Linked DNA regions of Alligator mississippiensis. The protein of the gene in region 3 interacts with the protein of the main gene of each other region in a biochemical or structural test. Links are inferred from orthologs where the notes say so. Each region holds a gene or a part of one and is shown on either strand. Other genes may lie near its edges. The genes, in order: RACK1, RASGRP3 and PRKCB.

Region 1 (8,086 bases), on a different chromosome or scaffold from region 3:
TTGCAGACACCCAGGGTGTTCCAGAGCTTGATAGTCTTGTCCCTGGAACCCGAGACAATCTGCCGGTTGTCAGATGAGAAGGCCACGCTCAGGACATCCTTGGTATGGCCCACAAATCGCCGGGTTGTGGTACCTCTGCAGGGGGCAAAAGGAAAAACATTCGGGTCACTCTTGGTGTCACTATGGACACCTCCTCCTACATCCACCTGCCAAATCCCTACTAAACTTCACAAAGAGCAACAGAAGAGGCATGGTGGTAAAAGGACTGGGGTGGGGGGAGGTTGGGCTCATGGAGTTGAAGGTCACCAAGAAGCATGAGCCAGGTTCTGAGTTGGGTGGGGTGAGGGGAGCGGGGGGAGACCCTAACAAGCAAACTAAATGAAATGTTAGAGCAGAAGCATAATCCAGGAACCCGCAGAGGAGACAGCCCAGGTAGATAAAAGAGGATGGGAGGTGTATCATGCAAAAAAATAGGTGGAACAAGGAAAATAAAGGACATGACCAGCAGGAAAGACCATAAAGCTCCCTATCTCCCTTCCTGTCCCATCATAATTGCAGGACATGTCGTCAGACTCCAGAGAGTCAGCAGACTTGTGTCAGGTTTAATCATTGGGACTAGAAGGGAAAAGGAATGAACAAAACTATCTGGATTACCAGCTTTCTGCAGTCTTAAAAGCTGAGCTAGCCATTTCCTAGAAGTAGCTGTTTCAGGCTGGTGACCCGTACTCCGAAACCAAACATTTCTGAAGTCTTAAGATTAAAAAGTGCACAGGACAAAGAATGCTTGACCTGGAATTGAAAATGTGGGGCACACAGGGATAAGGATCTCCCCTCTTTAAACTGCCAACCCTTGCTATATCCCTGGTTGCTTTTTTGTAACTGGTCTGTGGACTTCAAAATGGGCAGCCAGTACTACTCCACAGTGCATCAGTGCAGTGGGATGGGAAGGAGGGCTGTGATCTGCAGAGCAAACAGGCCAAGGAAGTTAGAAGCGGGGAAAATCTCAGCATCACCCCCAGGGGTATCCTATTCCCTGTCTGTTCTACTGTGTTCTTTCGCCATGTTCTCTGCCCCGCAGACTCTGTTTCTGCCAAGGAAGCCACCCTGCCCTGTTCTTCTTCCTGTCACTCACGTGGTAAGGTCCCAGAGGCGCAAGGTGCCATCCCAGGAGCCAGAGAGGGCAAACTGCCCATCAGAGGAGATGACCACATCGCTGACAAAGTGTGAGTGGCCACGCAGGGCACGCTGTGGGATCCCATAGTTGGTCTCATCCCTGGTCAGCTTCCACATGATGATGGTCTTGTCTGTGCAGGAGAAGCAAAAAGGAATTAGCTGCGTCTCCCTACCACAGCAAAAGAGCACGGGGCCTGGAGACTGCCCCTAGACTGGACTGGGCAGCAACCACTGAACCCCTTCATACCAATCCTGAGAACAGCCCCTGGAATCAATCGTGGCATTTACCCAGTCCCAACCTCTATGGCACAGTCGATCACCAGTCTCATCAAACGTGGGCAAGTTAGATTATACCAACATGCGTCCGGTTCCCAATATCCTTTCCATTGCACCAACCTGTCCCCTCCTCTGAGACAGGGCTGCATAAAACGGCAAAACCCCTTATCCCCAATGCTCACCTAAGCACTAGGTCTCCAAATTCCCTCTCTTTTATTTTATAGCTATGGGCTTCTCCTGAACAATGTGCCCTGACAGGGAGCCCCACTCACCCTCCTTCCCAGAATCCCATCATAATTGCAGGACTTGTCATCAGACCCCAGAGGGTCAGCAGACGCGTCAGGTCTAATCACTGGGATCGGGAGGTGTGCAGCTCCATGATACTAGCAGGGATGAACCTCAGTGCATTGATGGCCTCTGGGCAAGCAGAGAAACTTCATCCTGGGCAAGCAGAGAGCACCCCCCACCCCCAGACAAGGAATTTGTGCAAGCCCCCAGAGCACCACCAACTCACGACAGCCTGAGGGTAGGGAAGGGATCCTAGGCTAGGAAGGTCCCAAAGCTGCTCCCTTTTGATCCCTCCCCACTTTCTGCTGGATTTGCCCCCTCTCAGGGATTGAAAGCCTAACAGGCCCCACCATCCTGCAAAGACCTTCAGTTCCCAAAACCCTCAGAGAGCCTCAACAGGTAGCACCCCCTGAACACCTTTTAGTGGGGCTTCCCCTCACAATACCCCCCACCTCCAGCTCCTGGACGAATAAACAGCACCCCCCACCCCATAGCTAGGGAAACTGAGTCCCAGCAGCCCACCCAGCCCTGCAGCCTGGTACAGACGAGAGATGGGAATTAAACCAGAAGTCTGAGCTCCACTTTCTTGTCCTGAACAAGGTCCGCACCTCCCCGGCCCCCTGCCCAGGGGCTCTTCCCGGACACCTGCCCCTTCGTCTCGGGCACCAGGTTCTGCTGCCCCAACCCCTCCCAGGCCTAAGGGCCCCAATCCCCTCCAGCTGCAGCCACATTTGCACAATGCTGAAGCAAATGGTGCAGCCCTGTGTCCTGGCCCCTCAGTGATCCATCCCCCATCCCACCCCTCCACGTGGCTGCAGACCCAGCATCCCCAATGGCACATCCCACCCTCCCCCCACCAGCAAAATGGTATCTCCCTCTGCCTGGTTCCCCACCCCCACTGCAGGGTTGGTCTCTGCCTAGCCCCCAACCAAGCAGCGAGGTGGACTTTCCCACCCCCGCAGCTGCCACCACGATGGTGTCAGCCACAGCCCTTTATGCCACCCGCTGCAGGTTGCCCCCCCCCCCAAGCGGGTGCATTGGTCTGCCCCGCCCCCACCCCCGGCGCCGCTCTCACCGCGCGAGGCGGACAAGATCATGTCCGGGAACTGCGGGGTGGTGGCGATCTGCGTCACCCAGCCATTGTGGCCCTTCAGGGTGCCGCGCAGGGTCATCTGCTCCGTCATGGCGGCAGCGGCACGGCGGGCTCAGCGCGCGGGGGAGGGAGGATGGCGGCGGATTCGGCGGCGGCCGCGGGCCGGACCCTGCACTCGCTCAGGCAGCGGCCCAGAGAGAAAGGAAGTCGGGACGTCGGCCGGAAACGGAAATAAGCTTCGCGTCGCGTCGCGCCGTACGGCAAGATGGCTGCCGCCGGCCGCCGTCACTCAGAAGGCGGGAAGGAGAGGCGCCCGCCAGCCAACATGGTGGCTTCCGCAAGCAGGAGCCAAGATGGCGGCGCCCTTGCGGAGGCGCTGGGGTTTGTCATGGCGACCACTACGTGGCGGTTCCGTACAGCGGCCTTTGCCAATGAGAGCGGGGGGGCGGGGCCTGGCGCGTGTGGCCGCTGATATTACACTAAATTCACGCCCGCTTTCAAAACTGAAGCGAGGTGATGGTCGGGGTCGGAAGCTGTCTGTAGCGCTGGGAGTGGGGGGGGCAGGGGTGAGTTATAGCCACCCTAAAATTGTCGGAACCCCCCCATACAGCCCACCGCCGCCGTCCACCCCAGCCCCGCCCGAGCGCAGCCCCGGCCCAGCGCCCCCTGTGGGAAGAGGCCAGCACCGCTCCTGGCCCTGAGCCCGCAGCATGCAGCGCACCCCGCCTCGTGCACGAATCCGGGGACACACGACACGCCCCGCCCCGCCCTGCCCCGCCCCCCCAGCCCAGCCCTGGCTCCACCCCGCGCCCCTTCACTGTTCTTGTGCTGCTCCTCTGCCCTGAAGGGGAGTGTGACGCCGCTGGGCTAGACAAGGGCTGGCTCGCTGGGATAGGGATGATTCCCCCTCAAGCAGGGCTGGACTAGACCTTTGGACATCCTTCCAGCCCTACTTTGATATGATTCTGTGATTATCACAAATGATCAACAAATCTATATTATTTTAATTTATACCAGTACTGGTAATTTCTGAAAAAAAAAATTGTTTTAATATAGGACCAGGAACAACTTCAAGCTTGTCACAGTTGAAATTAATTTGGACCCTAATTTTCACTGATTTTTTTTTTTTTAATGAAATTTTACAAGAAGGAAGTACGTTTTACCACCTGAGACCCTGCTCCTGCCTTTGTTTGAGGTAATTTGCATTATCACAGAGCCCGGAGATACTTTGCCACATGAGAAATTCCTGCCCAGAAGAGCAGCCCATCATTTTATTCTGTGAAATATGGAATATCATAACCAGAAGGAAATATAACTCTACGTCCTGCTAGCCACCAAACACCTTCGAGGTAAACAGACTAGTCCAACTTTTTTCTGGCCCTAAGCTGCATAAAATGAACTGTTCCAGACAGGGGTGTAGGTTGTAGCCGTGCTGGTCTAAGGACATAAGCAGACAAGGTTCCTTGGGTGAATCTGATATCTTTTATTAGACCAACCCAAATAGTTGGAAAATAATTATTAAGCAAGCTTTCGGGTTCAAAAACCCTTCGTGAGGCTAAGGAAGTTTCAGCAGTTGGTGTGTGTTCCAAACAGGAGATTTTACCACACCTTCAACTCTCCTATGAAATATGAACTTTCATTTCTACCTCGGAGAACTTTTACAGTCTTTTCTCCTATGCCTGAAGAAGGGTCCCTGTGCCTGAAAGCTTGCAAATGAAACTTTTTTTTGCAAAAATCTAATTGGTCTAATAAAAGATGTCACCTCTACCACTAGTTCAGATCCCTTTGGACCTTAACATATCTCCTTTACTCTTACTTCCACTTTCTATAAATGCTGCAAGATCAAAGCACATTTCTCAGTTTGGAATTAAAAGAGAATTCTTTAAAAACTTTAAGGAAAGACTACAATCACACTCCTGGCCCCTTTTACACTTGGAATTATCCATGCAACTTAATAGACTGAAAAGCGATGCGTGTTAAATGATTATCTTGACAAAAGGTATGCTTTGGACTTCCCAGCTACAGCTTAAAAATTGTAGACCTGTTCAAAAGGATCAGTCAGGTAGGTGGATTCGTCTGCCACAGGTATTTAAAACAACGTTTTTCATATCTGCAGTAGAAACCATTTTTTTTTGGACAGATTAAATATTTCTGTGATAATTTGTTTAACTCTTTGTGTGAACGCAGCATTCAATATGTATTCGAAAAGGTTTGCACTTGAAATGTATTTCAGATTGACTTCCAAGTAATGTAACACCAGACTGTTTGATAATGTTGAAGTATTACGTATTTATTTCGCTGTTGTGCTTAATTAAAAATGCATTGGACCTGATCTTACTCTCAGTGCGTTCTAAGAGTTATTTTTAACTAAAATAACTTCATACTTTTAGAATTCAGGCAGGAAGAGACTGCTCCAGGCCCAGATGCCATTAGCATAGCTTTTTTGATTTTTGTTACTAACAAGCTTTTTCCTTGAAAGTTTAAAAGAAAAAAAAATCCAGAATCAATCAAAACAGAAAATGGTATCTTTTACTTGCTAGAAATTCAATGGGAATTAAACATTCGCTTAAATATTTGCTGAATAAGAGGAGTAGACACAAATCTTGAAAGGCTGGACCCATAATATTGGACTCTTCATGGGGTAATTGTCTTGCATTTTCTAATCCACAATGTCTACAAAATTTTGGGAGAATATCCAGTAGGGATGTGTGGTAGTCACAAGTTTAGGGGGAAAATGATGACATAAATGCAAGAGAGAGGCCAAGCTGCAAATTGTAAACCAGTTCATTTTTGCTATTTGATGTTTCACAAGAAAAATCTCTGAGAATTGAAAAAAATAATATTTTTTCATGAGAAATTTTCAACAAAATGATTTATTTCATTTGAAGTTTTTTTGAAGTTTTTTCAGTAATGCAACCTAGAACATTTTTTTTTTTTATTAGCCATCACAAATTAAATGATACCAACAGTTTTTTTTAAATTGCCATCTTTCTCTCTTCTCTCCACCCCGCTTCCTTTTCCATGTGGATAGAGGAAAACCAAAGAATATATATGGACTCATTCTAATACAAACTTTTTATTCATTTCATAGATTCATAGATGTTAGGGTCGGAAGGGACCTCAATAGATCATCGAGTCCGACCCCCTGCATAAGCAGGAAAGAGTGCTGGGTCTAGATGACCCCAGCTAGATGCTCATCTAACCTCCTCTTGAAGACCCCCAGGGTAGGGGAGCCCGTTCCAGACCTTGGCCACTCGAACTGTGAAGAAGTTCTTCCTAATGTCCAATCTAAATCTGCTCTCTGCTAGCTTGTGGCCATTATTTCTTGTAACCCCCGGGGGCGCCTTGGTGAATAAATACTCACCAATTCCCTTCTGTGCCCCCATGATGAACTTAAAGGCAGCCACAAGGTCGCCTCTCAACCTTCTCTTGCGGAGGCTGAAAAGGTCCAGTTTCTCTAGTCTCTCCTCGTAGGGCTTGGTCTGCAGGCCCTTGACCATACAAGTTGCCCTTCTCTGGACCCTCTCCAGGTTATCCGCATCCTTCTTGAAGTGTGGCACCCAGAATTGCACGCAGTACTCCAACTGCGGTCTGACCAGCGCCCTATAGAGGGGAAGTATCACCTCCCTGGACCTATTCGTCATGCATCTGCTGATGCACGATAAAGTGCCATTGGCTTTTCTGATGGCTTCGTCACACTGCCGGCTCATGTTCATCTTGGAGTCCACTAGGACTCCAAGATCCCTTTCCACCTCTGTGCCACCCAGCAGGTCATTCCCTAGGCTGTAGGTGTGCTGGACATTTTTCCTCCCTAGGTGCAGCACTTTGCATTTAAAATAACATTTTTTATTATTATTCTATGGCAAAATAGGGGGGAAAGAGGCATAGAAGGGGTATCTTCGGTAGCAGTGAAGAAGTTTTCAATTAAATTAAATTTTAAAACTTTGCTCTTCTCAGATTCCCCAAAGGGTGTGCCATGGCACAGTAGCGTGCTGTAAGAGCAGCAGAAGTGCTATGCAAAAAATTAGAGATATACCAATACATCGGTCCCATAGAAGATCAGCACCAATATAAGGAAAATTGATGGTATCAGCAGTCAGGTTTTTTTGGCTGATGTAACCGATAATGCCACCAATAAATGCCCCATGCATGCGCACAGCCACAGCGCAGCACACAGGCGGCCAGGAGCAAAGCCCAGCAGTGTGGAGAGCAGCCGGGTCCAGCTGGTAAGTCTGTTGTGAGGGCTTTCCCAAGCAGGGGGTGCTAAGCCAGGCTGCGCTTGGGGCGGGTGGCAGCAGCACCAGGAGGGGGCTATGGTGAATTTTGGGGTGGCTGCAGCCCCCCCCGTAGCCCTGCTTCCAATGCTGCTGCTGCCTACCCCAATAGTAGCTTGACCCAACCTCCACCGGGAAGAGCCTGGCACGGCCCCAGACTGCAGCAGCAGCCTGCCCTTGCCCCACGTGCAGTTCCAGGGGCACATGCCCCACATATCCTCCCGGGATGCATGCAGCAACAGGAGCTGCCCCCCGCCCTCCCCCCCTCCTTCTGATGAACCTCTTGCAGTTCCATCCTGTGCTCTGACCCAGTTGTGCAGCACCTGCCCCAGCCCCACTCCCTCCCTCGTCGTGGCTGCCTTGATCTGCCACCCCCATGCCCCTTTCCTTTCCCCTAACCTCTTCCCCCACAACAGACTTACCAGCCAGACACTGCTTTCCAAGCTTCCCAGCTGCATATCAGCAATCAGATCAGTATTGGCCAATATGGCTTGTTAAAAATCAGCCATTGGTATTGGCCCAAAAATTCTCTATTGGTGCACCCCTATAAAAAATGATTCCTTCCTTCCTTCCTTGTATTGTAAACATTTTTTTGTTTGCACATTTTAATACATGATATAATATTTTCAAGTCAGAATTTGTAAGGCTATTCACAATACACAACATTGATAATCTGCCATATGTCAGTATGCAGAACATTTGAAGCAAAGGCATGAGGTGCAGCTTATACATGCCTATGCAGGTGCTTTGGTGAGAGAGGGAAGTGGTGGCAGTGTCTTGATCAGAAGGAGGGGTGTCTGTTGTAAGACGGCATGAAAATCTGGTGCAGTCACTGCAGTCATTGTTAAAGTATGATTAGTTTTTGAGTTGAACTGTGAACAAGCTCATATATCACACTGATATTTTTGTTTGAAAAATGTACTCTTTTATACTTTCCTAAATTAAGAATTAATTCATACTTATAATAACTGTGTGTGTTGCT
Region 2 (8,025 bases), on a different chromosome or scaffold from region 3:
CTATTCCATGACCACCATGTAACCACAAATGCAATCAGTTTTCTCTATGAGAAACAAAAAGTAGCGTCACAGATTGCAAAACAGAAAAAATATCAAAGATTCATGCTATTGCTTTGAGGCTCTTGAATCAATTTACCTACCATACACATAGCTAGTTCACAGCATGAGGATCACAGCCAGCAATTACTGTAACCTCATGAGACCCTGAACATGCAGCACTGCTTATCAACATGTTATCATCCATGCATGTCAACTTGCTGTTTGAGTCTGAACTGCTGCTTTCTCCTGCTTCTTTTTTATCACAAAATAACTTGTTCTTCAGGCTTCCCCACAGCTGCCAACCTGCAAATCCAGAAGGATATGTTTATATTTGATGGCTTTCCTGGAAATCAAACACAGTTGCTGTATTTGTAATTGGAATGACCCTTCAACTTACAGCTCCTCAGCTGCTTAACCTGGCACAGATCCACTGAGATCAATAGGCCAGATCCCCAGCTGGTTTAGATTGATACAGCTCAGAAGTAACATCCATTTATATGAGCTAAGGATCTCATCCATTGCCTATGCTCCATGCTACAGGGTATGTTTACACGAGACACTTACTGTGCATTAGCCTAATAACACTGTGCTGTAAAGCATTACAGCACAAATCATGCTAATAGCCTACTGTGCAGTGTTATTAGGCTAATGTGCAGTAAGCATCACTAAATAACTATGCACCAGTGCTAATGGGCAGTAACTCTAGGTACTGTGCATTGGGTTAGTACTTTATCAAGCATATACTAAACTAAATGCACAGTATCTAAGGCACATTAATGAATGTGTAGACATGTCCACAGGGACCAGAAGAGCTGTGTCCTTCTAATTCACTCCTTGCTTCTCAGAGAAAAGTGACTTCCAAAGTAATAATTTCAGGCAGCCAAACATGAGCCAAACTTGGGGGAAGCCCTCATTCCACACACTTTCTCAGCACAGCTCAGCCAGAGCAAGGCTTCATCTCATCCTTATTAGTGATGTAAATCTTTTTTTCCCAACATCATGGACTAGGATGATTACTGCTGAAGTGCAAAACTATGATCCTCTGAGCAAATGTTTGTATGTGGTGACTTTTTCTTGATGTCCAAGGGTCTGCTTACACATGTCAAGTCAAGCATGTATCCATGCAGTTTTGGGACCCATGCCCTAAATAAGTTCTAAGAAGGAGATGGAAACAGACTCATCTCTTTAGGCTATGGGCACCAAGATACCTAAACTCCAATCTTGTGCATTCAAGGCATGCTCTAGATCTCTATATATGTGCATAGAGAGATAGAAGGAGTATATAGCTTACTTCCTGAGTGTTATAAGACCAATAAAATTTATTGTGCTCTAAAAGTGGCTTCCTCTGGCAGTTATTTACATCATCTTTTAATACACTTTATACCCTGCAACACTACCAGGGCCCCATTCCTCTCTACGCTAGTTGCTGAGGTACAGGCATGTGCTATGCCCCATCACTGGTTATGCCAGCTTGCAAACTTTGCTTGTGAGCTGGAGGAAGGATTCTGCTTGCTAGGCTCCCCACTGGGCAATACAGCTCTACAGACCTCCAACAGAGCTATGTCCTAAAGGCAAATTTGAGCCCTCTGTCATTAAGGGAAGCTCTGAAGGAGGAATGGTTGTGCCAGACAAAATAAATCTTTCCTGCTCTAAGGCTAATGTCCCACAGTTAAACTCTGGCTTCACATGATCTGACATCCCTAACAGCTCCTTGCTTTCCAAAAAGCACTTTGAAGTGTAAGTCTGAAGCCTTCCCACCATGTCTCCCTTGAGGAAGGCTCACTTAGCAGGAAGCACAAGCAGCTTGGAGACCAGAGGGGTGTTTTTTTCCCCCTTTCCAAAAAAAAAAATTGGGAATCTATTTTAAAAAAAAAAGAGTGCACCACTGGTGAGAATTTCCTCTTGGTGTCTGATGACATCAGACAGCACTGAGGGGAAATCCTGCTTAAATCCTTTCATTCAATTCTTAATGCTTTGGAGATATTTTTGGCCAATGTTAAGAAACTTGTTTGGTTTTTGGTGCTCAGGAAAGTAAGGCTAATGGCACAGATAAATATGATGCAAGCTGTCTCCCACAAATGAGCTTTTATTGGCACCATCCTGCCTCTCAACCCCCTAGTCCAGTGGTTCATAACCTGTTTAGCCTCAAGGCACCTCTCCATAACTTTTCTGAATTTAGCAGCACCTGGGTTGAGAAGTGATTTTGTAAAAACAGCTTAGACCTATTACATGGTCATTGTCTCTCAAAGTCATCTTACCAAACTGAACTAACTTTTCCTCGTGTTGCCAGGCCTATAAGCACTTCAGACCTGGGGTGTGAAATGCAAGCTGAATTTTTTCAGTCACAGAAATCATCTTACTGTTTCACTTAAAACCAAGGATGCACCCTTTGGTTTTGAAGGAAAGTTCTGGGCATGTTTCCCCAATTTGCAAGCAAATAACCTGAATGCAAAGACTGAGCTTTAAAGGATTTTTCAGGTAATGAACTAATTAGAATTATAACTAACTATATTTATAACATTTGTAGTAACATTTATTTTCTAAATGGCCTGTTTTATTCAGGTCTTTCTGTAAAGCTAATGATCAATGTTGAGATGAGGAAATATGGTAATCTCTGTGAGAGATTTGAGCACCACCTAAGGGAAAGGCTGTTTTTAAAGGTCCTTATTGTGTTAATGTTTGATATACTGCACATATTCATCATAGTTTCTCTTATCACCATGTTTAGTGAGAAAATATTTTTGGTACCAAATGGAATATTACAGAGCCGTTTTATGTGACTTCATGTTTCTAGCCTCAAGCTTGTAAAGAAAACCTTGAAAATGTCACCTGACTTAATTACCAAAGACTTGAAAAATCTTTAGCCAGACTTCATCAGCATCTAATTGTTATTCATTGTCAAGCAGAAGCTCTTATAATGAAAAGTGGCATTCTTGTGAAACACAGTCAGGCCTTTTCATGAAGATGCTGTTCTTCAAGACATGGTATGCTACTGTTCGGTTACCGCTACAAAAACAAAGTCACTTATACACAAACACACTGCACTGTGCAACAAGTAAGGTTGCTCATCACATAAATAAGCCTGAAACAAACATGGCAAGTTCCAGATCACTATGACTTATGCACCCAAATCCCATTGCCTTTCTGTGGGACTTGGGCTCTTTTAAAAAAATGTACCTAAAACCTCAAAAGGAAGGAAATGGGAAGCTACGCCATCTTTCAATATATATCCCTTATGCTAAGGGACACATATCTCCCCACTAGCACAGCCACCATTCATCACAGCTATCAACCCCACAGCCTTAGCTCTTCTCTCCAAGTTATGTTAATATTCCAGTTTCATACCAGCAACTGCAAAAGACAACAGAGAAAGACAAGGTTCTTTGGGTGAATTTGGTATCTTTTATTAGACCAACTAAACAGTTGGAAAAATTGTTCTTTGCAAGCCTTCGGGTTTGTACTCAAAAGCTTACAAAGAACAGTTTTTCCAACTGTTTTGTTGGTCTAATAAAAGATAGCACATTTACCCAAAGAATCTTGTCTGACTATGACCTTAGACCAACACAGCTACAACCAACAGCCACAAAAACAACAGAGGCCATTTATGCAGTTATTTGTATAATTTGCATAAACTGAGCAGGATTTGTGTAGGGAAGTGAGGTAGAAAGAATGCAAAGAAAAAAGAGAAAGGGAAGGGAGGAAAAGTATAAATTAAAAATTGTTAATTTCAAAAGCTTCTTTAAACTATGCCTTTAATATTCCTATTAGCCTTATGAGCAGGGATCCTGGTTTTCTCTGATTAAAAAAATCCCCAATTTCTGGATTAAAAAAGTAACCCAAAATCCACATTTTTCCATGATCAACTGAAACACCATTAATATACTTTTTTTAGTCAAAAAATTGGGGAGGTAGGGGGGTTACCAGAAAAAAACAGGATCCCCCAGTTAAGTTAGTTGCTTATGTATGCCTCCACATTTAAAGCATTTCAGCAGCTCCCATGTCATAAACCAATCTAACTTTTCTGATTGATCAAAACAAAGAAAACTACAGCATGCACATGAAGGATCACTTGGATTGATCAGTGTGAAAAGTGCTGAATCATTTTTCTTTAAATCCGATTTAGGGCCTAATCTAAAGCCCCAGGGAAATTCATAGAAAAAACACTGTTGTGAAACAGTTCAGGCTGGAAAGGCTCCAACTGACTGCAATAGGGTTTGGATCAAGCTTCCATTCTTCAGTTCTCAAGACAATTAACAAAAGTTTGATGTTTGTATCCCAGTCACGGTTGAATGGTGACCCATGTAAAAATGTATCAGAATATATGTAGCAGAATAACTGTTTCTCCATGTGCATAGATTTTGCTTCAACTTTCAGAATGGGTTGTAACTCTAAAAAAGGAAAAAAAATGAATGGAGTTGGAAGTCAAACTTAAGCTTAGTTTTAAATCCTACTCCTATGATGATGCTCGAAAAATAAAGCATTTTCTAAACAGCTTTCTCTGTCCTCCTTTTATTAAAACTTCCCCACAAAGCCTTCGCCTGATTTTGAGATGGAGAAAGTATGCAAAATAAACACAAAAGTGAAGCACTTATTAAAGAAAATGGTCTAATTGCCATTATGCCCCGTTACTGTGTTGTGCAGCCAGATGGACTCCTAATAATGTTTTAGAACCAATAATGTTCTGCTCAGAAAGACCGGTACTTTTGATGTGGATAGTATTTGCATAACACGTCTTAAGAAACCTCCTCTAAGTATTTTACACTCAAATAGGTATCCACTAGAAAAAAACTACAAGATCTCCCCTTTGTTTAAATGCATTTCCTGCCTTCCTTATTGCTATGTTATGTGTTGTGGCAGACCTATTTATAGTTCAAAAAAAAAAAGGAAAAAGCTCCACTGGAGGCAGGAAAACTAAGTCGGGAAAGAATAGGAGGAAGTGTAGCTGCCAGTTAGCCAAACAATCTAGAACTAATTGAGCTCAAAAGAGCCACAGCTTTACTGTAGCCACCAAGAACAAACAGCACAACTCTGTTATTCGCTTCAGAATCCTTCATATGAGGTTGAATAATGAACATGGTGTGAGTAGCACAGAAGAGCAAAGGAAAATCGCAGCATATGAACACTTGAAAGAAGTTAGCGTGAGAAAAAGAACAGTGGCCTGAAAAGGGGTGGACTGAACTTGACACCTTAAGGTAAGTCTCTTCCTTTGGCATTTCAGCTTGTACTTTTAATATCTTTCACAGATGAGCAATCTCCTAAATGAAACGGTGGGCTTTGCAGAAGCAATTTTTGCTTCCCAAACAGTTCTCCAGGTGAACTGGCTTTTACAATAAACTTTTTGCTTTGAAATATTGGTTATAGATCCTTAACGGGTTGCAATAACCACAGGTATCTGTGCTAAACATCCCCTACCAAGTAAGGTTGTTATCTCATGTATATTTGGGTTTTGTTGGCGCTAACAGTCATTGATTACATATTAAAGCTATGATAATGAAAGGTTTGATTCCTATAAAAAGCATGACGTCGAGCAAAAAATGCATTATTACAATGTCATGGACTCAGAGAGTTCATCTTATCAGATGTGTTACAAGAAAAGGATCCAATCTAAAATGGAAGCACCTTAATGGTATATTGTTTTTAAATTCAAGATGTGAAATAACTTGTTGGGGATTTTACTAATTTTTTGTTTTTCTATGTAAAACCATGCAGTCGCATTCCAGGGTCTGTCTTAATCAACAGCCTGAAGCAGACGATAAAATTCAGTCTTCCTGTCTCTGGACAGTTCATGCTTTTCTACAATGTTATGAAATCATCTATAAAAGCTGCATTATATAATGTCAGAGCACAGATTATATGATTTTATCTGATGAGTACTGAAAGAGAAAGGCTCTTCATTAAAAAGAGACCTAAAATATGTATTTGCCCTCAGTGATGATGATAGACTTAATTTGTAGGGGAGGGGGTTTTGTTTGGCTTCTTTTTCAGAAAATTCTGCTTTGCCGTATGCCAGAATAAGAGACAATAATGAGAGGGGAAGGCAGAAAGAGAGAAACATAGGCTACTTCATACTAGAAGATTCAATATTCTCCATGCACAGCACAGTATGTAGCTACTACTGCTAGATTTTCAGCCTATTTTAACAAATTGTGAGAATAGAAGTTGTACTCGTGTCAGTGATGTACTGCCTCATATCTGTTCCACGAAGTACGCACATTAGTCACAAATTACTCATGCTATTAAAGATTAGCAGTCATTGTAAAATGCTGCTAGTGAGTAAAAGAAAAGGAAATGTGTGTGTTGTTATGCTGCCTTATCCTGGTAGGATGCTGTTACATTCGGAGCCTGTTGTTGTGAAGATAGCCAGGCAGGATGTCTGCTGATACCCACTGAGGTGAAAAGCTGGGGGAGGACTATCGTAAACAGTGGTAATCGGTACTGCTTACTAAAGACCAGAAGTGCCCACAAAGTACTGTGAAGTGCTGAATGGGTGATGTCAATGGAGTTTGAGATTGAGCCTCAACACCTTGTAAAATCTGGCCCTCGTGCACTTCCCAATTTTAAACTCCTTATTCTTTCTATACAACAGATCTCTCTTCTGAAAGGGCTTGCTCTTGAGAGATATGGAGCACCTCTGTGAGAACGAAGTGTGTGAAAACACTGAACATGGTGCAAGGCCGAGACCTATGAAAATATTTATTGTAGATGTCCAGATAATCCCAACACATTTGCAGGGAGAACGTTTATCATTTTGCAGGCAGAAGGTTTACCATTTTGTTTTTACTCAAGTCACTCAACCTATGTGCCTCCTGGGGGCATATTTCATGCGCCTAAGTTTATTGTGCAGTAAATTCAGATGCATTAATTGCATGTGTAGATGCACCCACTGAGACCAAAATGTGCTTGATGTGGGTAAGCAGGGCCATCCCTGGAGAGGGAGTGACTGCCCTTTGGGGGGCCCCGCGGAGCCCGGCAGAGCAGCCGCGGCACCTCCTACAGGGCCCACCTAGTGCTGGTGACTCTGCGCCACCACTAGCTTCGTGTCTGGCCACTTGCCACCCTCCCCTCCATGCCCCCCCTGCTGCTGCTGCCGCTGGCTTCTTCGCATCTGGACCACGCACAGGCTGATTTGCCCCAGGCCCCGCACCCTGCTAGGATCGTCTAGTGGAGCAAACTCACTGTTCTCTCCTACTGACAGTCAATCGTATGAGGAGCAGAAAGGTAGATTAAAACTAACTATACCCATAATCACCCCCACTCCTGCAATGGAGCAACTCAGAATCAAAGCCAGTATCTTCAGTACTGCCAATAGTATTCAAAACTTCTGCTTCAGGCTCTACAAGCTCATGTTATTGTTTTTAAAATAATACAGCTTCTAAAAGTAATAAATGTTGGGGTCTTTTTACTTACCTTCTTCACTTCAAGCCTTTAGGATGAACTTTTTCAAGCCTTTTTTGCAACCACAAGAGCTAGGAAGCTAATTAAAAAAAACAAATTTAGATACTTTCACAGTCACATGATTCTAGAAGTTGGGGCTTTTAAAAATATAATGAGATTTGCATTAAAATTATAGAAGTTGACAAGCTCACAAGGTTCAAAACACTATTTGTAGATTCAGGTCAAAATATTTGCTGGCTCTGGAGATTACATATACCACAAGGGGAAATTCTGTACTGACAGTTTAATCACCCTATAAGCAAGGCCATAGACCTTACTTCATAGCCACTTAAGGCTACATAATCTGGATGGATTTTAAAACTACTCTGTGACATACCCTCCAGAGATATCTAGGCCCCTTTTGATGCATGCAATGGCATGCAGACCTGGAATTATTAAGACGTCTATCTTTACAAAATGAAAGGTGTGTGATATTTCAGCACCTAAATGATTCAGAGTGACAGGAAATTGTCATGGCTATTCAGCTGCCTGAGTGACTAAAAGTGGTGTTAATCAAGATAAAAAGTAAAATGTAAAGGTTTGTTCTTCATA
Region 3 (7,843 bases):
CTTCGGGTTTTATTCCAGGAGAAGCCAAACCGAGCGTGCAAGGCAAGCAGGCTCCTCGGAGCTGACGGGCACATAACTACCGGATCTGCAGGGCCCGCGGCTCCAGGACAGCCGCTTGCTTTGACACCTCTGTCTTGCAAGGACGCTGGTGCTGCTGCCCGGTGGGGAGGCTTCTCTGCGGGCAGCAGGGATCGCCATCCTTTTCCTTCGTGGTCCTGCCCTTTTGCTCGAGAGCACAAAACCAGGGTTTTGAGCCTTTTTCGTCATCAGCCGATCCGTGCTGGCACCACTGTAATTTCTTGCAGTGTTTTTTTTTTAATCAAAAAAAATTACCCAAGGAAAAAGACAGCCAATCAAGCAGGAGGCAGGAAGCGCCAATACAACCTGCAATTACATTGTATCCCTGTAACTTGCTGCAATTGTTGCGATTTAACATAGTATCAAGTTCTCCTCCTCCCCCTCCCCCCTCCTCCCTTATTTCTAGGATCAGTCACAGAAGAGATGCTGTATTTTATTTTTGCAATGATATTTTGCCTCCTGTTACTAAAACGTGGCCAACCTTGGGCTGCCAAGATGCAGCTACTCTATACAATGTATGCATTTCTATAATGACACGACATATTGCTCATTACTTACTCACTTCCATCACATTATGCCGCGGCTCCTGTTTTGACATATTCTTAGATACAGTTGCTGCGCTCTTAGGCCCAGACTTTGCAAGGTGACGGCGGAGGTGTGTTACCATCCCGTCTCTGACCTTTAGACCATATTGAGAGGCATTCTGGCGCCGTTGCAAACGCCCTAGGTGCCCACGACCGGCATGTGATCGACACTTTGGAACGGCTCCTCCAGTCACTCGTGCTAATAGAAACTGGATAAAGTCCGTGCAGTCGCACCGTATCTGATTGGCACGAATGGCTGGAGAGCCAGATCTGCTTTCGCTTTGGCTCAGCGCTGGATGCTTTCCTGGCTGATCTGCTCTGCTTCCACCGCATGCTCCTGGGCACGAGACGGGAAAGGCTTGGTGAGGCCAGTGCAAGACGTCAGCGTGGATGAGCATTGAGGTCCATCCTGGAGAGATGTTAGTTGTGTTTCCAGCATCTCACCTCTCCTCCAGGGTCCAAAAGGAAAAGCAGAGCCCTTGTTGCTTAGCATCTAAGACCAGTCTCTTCCAGTACAGTGTCTCCCATGAGCAGCATCCAGTACAGCCACTTGCTCGCTCTGCTGCTCCCTTCCCGTGAGAGCCGGATTCTGCCCGTGTGTGGATGAGGTACCACCCCTCGACTGCGAAGCAACACAGCCTGCCCTGCTTCCAGTGGTCTTGGAGCCGTTCCCACTGCTGATGGCCTTGTTTTCACGCCCTCTGGCCGATGCAGGGAGACGGAGGTGAAGGAATCTGGGCCAGTTGTTTCAGCACGCGGGGCAATGCCGTCCTGAGTGCTTTGCGTTCCCCAGCTGCAAGAGGAGGATGCTGCTTGCCTACCTCTCCAAGGGACTGGGAACATGAATTCAATATTCTTGGAGTCTTAGTTTTGAGATGCTGGTTCATTTTCTGTAGCTGAAACATGGCTAGTGTTGGGCCCCCAGGGTAAAGTGACTTTGTGCAGCCACCAGCTCCTCCATCGACCTTCTGCCATGGGGTTGTGTGTCAGGAGACAACTGCCAGCCCATGTCTTACTGTCCTTGTTTTCAGTGTCTCGCTCGGGGCAGGGGCAGCACGGACACTATAGCATGCAGGTGATAGCACCAAGGTTGCAAGTTCAAGGTTGTAGCAGAAGTGCTCACAGTGCAGCCACATCTCTGACGTCTGCTAAATACCTTGTCACAAAGTGTTTGGAAAGGAAAGGAAGCGTCTTGCTCCCTGAGCCAGCTAGGAGTTGCTGTCACCGTTTTGGAGGAGAGCCTGCAAGAGAATCTGTGCTCTGTGGTTTGTCAGGACTGGGATGGGAATGAGCTGGGCTGGGTGCCCCTGGGGAGCCGTTTCGGAGCTTGTTTGTATTTCATTGCTTTCATTGCACCGGTGGGGGATTTTCTTGCCTTAATAAAAACAATGGCATCCTCAGAGGAAGGAAGCACTTGGAAGTGTAAGGCTGACCATTTTCAGAGCTGCTGAAAGGCACTGAATGCCTGCTAACATTAAACCTGGCCTTGGAAATCCCGGCTTTAACACCATCTGACTGTCTGTGTGTGAATTAAGAAACGCGCATACTAAACACGGGAATTCCAGCTGCTGTCGGCACCTCCCCACACACGGGGACCTGGGATGCTGGCACAGGAATATTGACACGCTGGTTAACATTTGCATTGAAAAATGAAGGGAAAAAGGTTTCCTGAAAAGGTTTCTGCTACATTCAGGGGCCATGAGCCACAGCTGTGCAGGCTGCATTTGGAAATCAGGGCAGTTACAAGATCAATGAGCAAGAAACAGGCAAAGTGCACTTAGTTACAATTAAAATGGAAAAAACTTAGTACAAGCGTGCCGAATGTAGCACACCCTCCAGAGAGCTTGCTATTCCTTTAGCTAAAGTAATCAAGAACGGGCCATTGTGATTGCCTTCCGTGTGTGTGTGTGTGTGTGTGTGTGTCCGCGCAATGCATCATTTCTGTGTCTCTTACGGAAAGGGCCAAGTCTGGCTTTAATCACTGCCACAGTCAGCACCGTGCACCCCAAGCGCAGGAAACCCTGCGAGTGCACCCTGGGCACTACACGGTGAATCACTTTCTGCAGCGCTCCATGTTCAGCTCAGCGGGTGACAAAAATATCCCAGACTCCAGGGTACGGCTGCAGCCATTGCTTTTCCTCCTGCCTTCAGGGTAGGATGGCTTGCAGCGCTGCTTTAAAATCACAAGGCCCTCGGTATTAGTAACAAGTTGGTTCGTTCCCAGGAAGGATGTAGCAGCAGCATCGCCTCTTAACCGACCTTTCCAAATCTTCGATCCAGTGTTGTGGCTCATTGGAAAAATATGATGACGATGCTGTGGGGCGGTGGCATGCACCGGTGCAGGCACTGAACATGGCAGGCTGAAATTATGACTGCTTTCCTCGGAGGAAAACATTTCAGGTAATCACCGTCGGCCAGAAGAGCAATCCTTCAAATGGGTAGCGTGGGCCATGCGACTTCCAGCCCTGCTGAGGCCCCTGCAGGCAGCCCGGGCGCCCTACCATACTCATCTTCCCAGGGCACCGGGTCATTGTCATGTCTAAGACCACGTGGTGGTTTTACCATCTTCATCCGCACATGAGCACAAACCATATCCCTCGTTGCTGGAAAGTCCTGTGATTATTCTTGCTATGAACACAAGACAGAGCAGGACAGGTCAGATACATGTTTTTCTATGATTATGACACCTTTGAAAATAGCTGCATAACAACTAACTGTGTTGGGGCCAGTTTTAAAATGCCTGCTAGGTGGGGACTGTGCGTAGAGCTTGTGGGGCGTTCGCCACGTAAAGATAGCGAGATTGAGCTGGTCATTGGAGACGAGCACGGGAAGAGCTTGCTCTGACTCGGGGCCGTGGCCGAGGTTTAGTTCTCAGATCCAAGGTGAGCAGCTCCCTCAATCTACGCAGAGCCCCCGGGCGTGGAGGGAGATCTGGACTTGCTCCCACGGTCCAGCCGCAGGATCGCCCCCCTGCACGTTACCCGTCTCCTGCGGCCGTTTCCATGCCACGGCCCGGTTCATGCAGAGACCGGACTAGGCCGTCATGGTTTCGTCTGCCCTGAAATTCTCCCAGGTCTATGAAATGCAAACATCCAGAACTCTTGGTTCAGAGACAATTACTTTCATTAAACCAACTGAGAAATTGTAAAAATATATATATTTCTCAGACCAACACAGCTACCAAATACATCCCTGAACCAAGGTCACCAAGGTCTATGGTTTCACGAGTTTCCAAGTGTTCAGATGAACACGGTCCTGCTCTCAGTGGCCTGGGCCGGGCTTTCCTGGCTCATTATTACTGGTATTTGTTCATGGGGCTTCCCCCACGAGGGCAGTGCCTCCTGCTGTTTTCATGCCTGTGTTTCACTGCACTGGCACGGAAGGCAAGAGGGGGAGATACTCTGCTCAGGTCCCCTCTGCACGGAGAGCCCAGCTGCGCGTGAGCCTTCCCCTCCTCTCCTTGCTGCCGGGGCTGCCCCACCGAGGGCTTCTCTTGCACCCGGCTCTTTTCTTGCACCGCATCCTACACGCTTGCTGGCTTCACGGGAGTGCCAGTGTGGATGTCTGGTAGGTATTGCCCAAGCAATGCCAGTGCTTCCTCCTGCTTCCTACCTGCCGATGGGTGCACGCCCCACCCCCGGCTCCTGCTCAGCCTCCTCCTGGCTAGTGCCCGGGGGCTGTGACGGGGCGCTTTCCTGCCCCGTGTCGGGGCGGTGTCCATCAGGCTGGGGGCTTTGGGAGAGGGCAGAAGCCAACCCCCCAGCTCCCCATGCACCCGGGAGCCCCCTCACTATGCAAAGCAGACAGGTGCTGGGCAGGGGCAGGGGTGATTGTGGCACCTGGGGGGCGAGGGGTGGCAGGCAAGGAGGGAGGGGGCGGAGCCTGGGGCAGATCTATGCAAATGAGGAGAGGACGTGGCGGGGGGAGGCAGCAGGCAGCGATGCAAAGCAGGGGCTCCGCGATGCAAATGAGGCGGGCGTGGGCGGGGCCCGGGAGCGCGGCGGCGCGCCAGGGGGCGGGGCTATGCAGATGAGGGCGGGGAGAGCGCAGTGTGTGCGCCTCGGACTCCCCCAGCTGCGCCCAGAGGTGCGCGCGGCGGCGGCGGCGGCGGCGGCGGCTCGGCCGGGCTCGGGCAGCGCAGCGCAGGGCAGCGCAGGGCAGCATGGCCGAGCCCGCGGGCGCCGGGGCTGGAGTCGGGTCCGGGTTCGGGTCCGGGTCCGGGTCCGGGTCCGGGGCGGAGGAGGGCGAGGGCCTGGTGCGCTTCGCCCGCAAGGGCGCCCTGCGCCAGAAGAACGTGCACGAGGTGAAGAACCACAAGTTCACGGCCCGTTTCTTCAAGCAGCCCACCTTCTGCAGCCACTGCACCGACTTCATCTGGTGAGAGACACCCCGCCGGGCGCGGGTCCGGCCGCGGGTCCGGGCGCGTGTGTGGGGGTGCCCGCCGTGCTCACACCCGTCTCTTTCTCTCGGCAGGGGCTTCGGCAAGCAAGGCTTCCAGTGTCAAGGTGGGTGCCCCGCGCGCTGCCGCTCGGCCCCCGGCCCCTGCCTTGCGGAGCAGCGGTCTCCCTGCCCCGCAGCCGGCTCCCCGGGCCCCGCCACACGGGCTTGCACCCGCAGCGTCTTCCTCCGGGGCTTTGCATCCGGCGTGTCGCACGGCCGGCCGGGCCCCTGGCTCGGGCAGCGCCCGCGGGCTCCGGGTACAGCCCCCCTGGAGCAGGGGGTGGGTAGGGGACCGGGGCGCCCGTCGAGTGGCTTAGTCATGTCTTAGCAATCCTGTTCTTAACGAACCGTCTAAGGCGCCGGTGCCCGGCTAGCAAACCAATGCCCACGATATCAAACCGGTGCCACAGAGAGACCCCGGAGATTAGCCCCGGCGGCTGTTTTCCCGTGGGGAACGCTGCAGGCCGACTTGGGTTTGATGGCAACAGGCGGGTTGTGGGCTTGCAGCTACACGGCGTGCTCGGTGACGCTGCTGGGGGGGGATAGGGCTTTATAACAAAATGTTTTGCAACGGTGTCCAGGGCTTAGCATAAGCAGAGCTCTTAATGCTGGGGATTTTTTGTTTTCAGCCAGTTATGATGCATCCTGATTAACTAAAATCGGTTTAGTCTGCCTTCAGGATTGGCAGGGTTTTTTTTGCCGCTTTTTGATCCTTTTTCAGGGTAAGACTTCAGAGATATTTTTGTCCCACATAATTACGCACATGGGAACTATTTTCTGGCCGAGGTAGATTGGTTCAGGTTCGCATCGAGATGCGATTTGGGATTGAAGCCCATTCGGGGCTGGTGGTATTCGCCAGCACTGAAATCTTGCGCTCGTGAAAGTCGCTCCCAGATCGTCATCTTGACAGGTGCCTTTATCCCAAGATGAGACAATTTGCATGAGAATAATGCCGTGTGCGACACCAGTCTCACTGAAACAGCTAGTCCTGGCAGACTTCATCTGTATCTGAACCAGGAAAGAAGCTCCATTAGGCCTAATATGCAGCCCAGAATCGAACCTGCCACCTAGATGGCTATCTGGAGATTGGCATCACCATGGCCGCTCCACTTACATCTCTTCTGGGATCTGGAGCTTTTCAGGGGATAAGGTTTACTGTGGCCCGTCTCTTAAATATAATGAAGTTTCCAAAACGCTTTGATAAGACTGGTTCTCATCTCAAAATGCTGTTGATAGCATCGCTGCAGAAACTCTTCCCGGGCCCACTGATATCTACTTGCAATGGCCAAAATCATGTGGCCCGTCGCATGTAACTGCATAACGTTGTCCGTGGACATCGAGGAGGGAAAGCAAATGCAGGATGCAAAGCTCAGCTAGAGGCCCTGCCTGCCATGCTAGCCATCACACCTGGTTTTCTCTGTTTCCAGCAAGCCCTACTGATGTTAGTCAAGGTCGCTGTCTCATCTGTTAAGTTCCCAGGGCTCCTTGTGAGGATCTTGGTGTATGTAGCAGCAGCATCGGATGTGTCCCTATAATTGTAGCATCACTGCAATTCAAAATGTAGCAGAAAAGAGGCACCTAGGATTATCCATCCCCCCCCTCCGCAATTTATGATGCCCCCAAACTACGTCCCAAATCATTACACTTACGTAGATGGTGACTTGTTCGTGTCATTTGTACCGTGCTTCGGGATGGGTGGAGTGAGAGCCTCTCTCAGGCACTTCCTCGAGAATCAGACTCTGGTAACTTAGTTGAGCTCATCTTTATGGGGGCAGAAGCATCTTTTACTGTGTGCGCTGCAGTCTGTAGGATATATTTTTAGGGTAGCAATTGAAGGTATGGACTAAAACTCAATATTGTGTGCCCTCAGACCACTGCTGCCCAAAGGAAAAGTCCTGGTGGGGTTTTAGCTTTTCTTGTGGTAGCAGGGGATGCCGGTCTGAGTCTTGGGTACCACTGTTTTTTGTCTTCCTCAGAACTGGTGAGTTTATTCCTAATAATCCTTCTGACTCCATTACCTGCCAGCCTGGTGCCAGATTTGTAGTCTTATTTCATGGAAGTCATGCATTGGGGTTTTTATTCAGAGGGTACCCACCCTGTCAGCTTTCCAGTCACGTATGGTTCAGTAAGCATCTTAATTTGACCAAGGAGAAAAATCCTTAACTTTTCTCTCTCTCTCACTGATCAGAAGGAAGGTTTCATGCTCTGGAAATAATCCAGATTTTATTCTGTTTCCAATTTAGAATCAGTTTTGAGGAATTAAAATGACTTCACAGCCAGTCTTCTGCATGGTCTGAACTGCGGGGTGGTTCTAGCCTGTTACCTTTTAATTCTTGAGATAATTAACTTGCTCTTGTTTTGGTGGGGGTAGTCCATGGTGCTCGGTGCTGTACATACCCACTGCAGTCATATGCAGCCCGGGAGATGAATGTTGTTCCAAATCTTCAGGCATGGAAATGAGACCCAAAGCAATTCAGCCACTTACCCGAGATCCAGCAGGGAGTCTGGGGCAATTGGGAGTTGAGCCCAAATCTCCTGGGTCCTAGGTGAAAATTCAAGCCCCTGCCCCCCGCTTCCATCTGCACAGTGTCCGGGCACCTGCTGTGATTCGGGGCGAATGTGAGCAAAGCGCAACTCTTAATTCTGAGTTGGCGACAAAAACCAGTCTCGTGCCTTTTAGTAACGGCGTCGAAACATTTTGCTCTGAATTGATCTAGGCTTGCAGTAAATACATGAAAAAG

Evidence for each region.
Region 1: the proteins of PRKCB (region 3) and RACK1 form a complex in vitro, tested with the Homo sapiens proteins (2 studies listed by BioGRID). The link is inferred for Alligator mississippiensis from reciprocal best matches to the Homo sapiens genes PRKCB and RACK1.
Region 2: of the proteins of PRKCB (region 3) and RASGRP3, one has a biochemical effect on the other in vitro, tested with the Homo sapiens proteins (2 studies listed by BioGRID). The link is inferred for Alligator mississippiensis from reciprocal best matches to the Homo sapiens genes PRKCB and RASGRP3.

The regions. Positions count from the first base shown.
Region 1 is NC_081834.1:51,398,108-51,406,193, reverse strand, and holds the start of RACK1 (small ribosomal subunit protein RACK1), read right to left. Parts: upstream 3,032-8,086; 5' UTR 2,922-3,031; coding exon 2,813-2,921; intron 1,305-2,812; coding exon 1,133-1,304; intron 136-1,132; coding exon 1-135. UniProt on the Homo sapiens protein: Scaffolding protein involved in the recruitment, assembly and/or regulation of a variety of signaling molecules. Interacts with a wide variety of proteins and plays a role in many cellular processes.
Region 2 is NC_081824.1:168,158,916-168,166,940, forward strand, and holds the start of RASGRP3 (ras guanyl-releasing protein 3), read left to right. Parts: upstream 1-4,990; 5' UTR 4,991-5,231; intron 5,232-8,025. UniProt on the Homo sapiens protein: Guanine nucleotide exchange factor (GEF) for Ras and Rap1.
Region 3 is NC_081836.1:58,191,072-58,198,914, forward strand, and holds the start of PRKCB (protein kinase C beta type), read left to right. Parts: upstream 1-4,761; 5' UTR 4,762-4,824; coding exon 4,825-5,039; intron 5,040-5,135; coding exon 5,136-5,167; intron 5,168-7,843. UniProt on the Homo sapiens protein: Calcium-activated, phospholipid- and diacylglycerol (DAG)-dependent serine/threonine-protein kinase involved in various cellular processes such as regulation of the B-cell receptor (BCR) signalosome, oxidative stress-induced apoptosis, androgen receptor-dependent transcription regulation, insulin signaling and endothelial cells proliferation.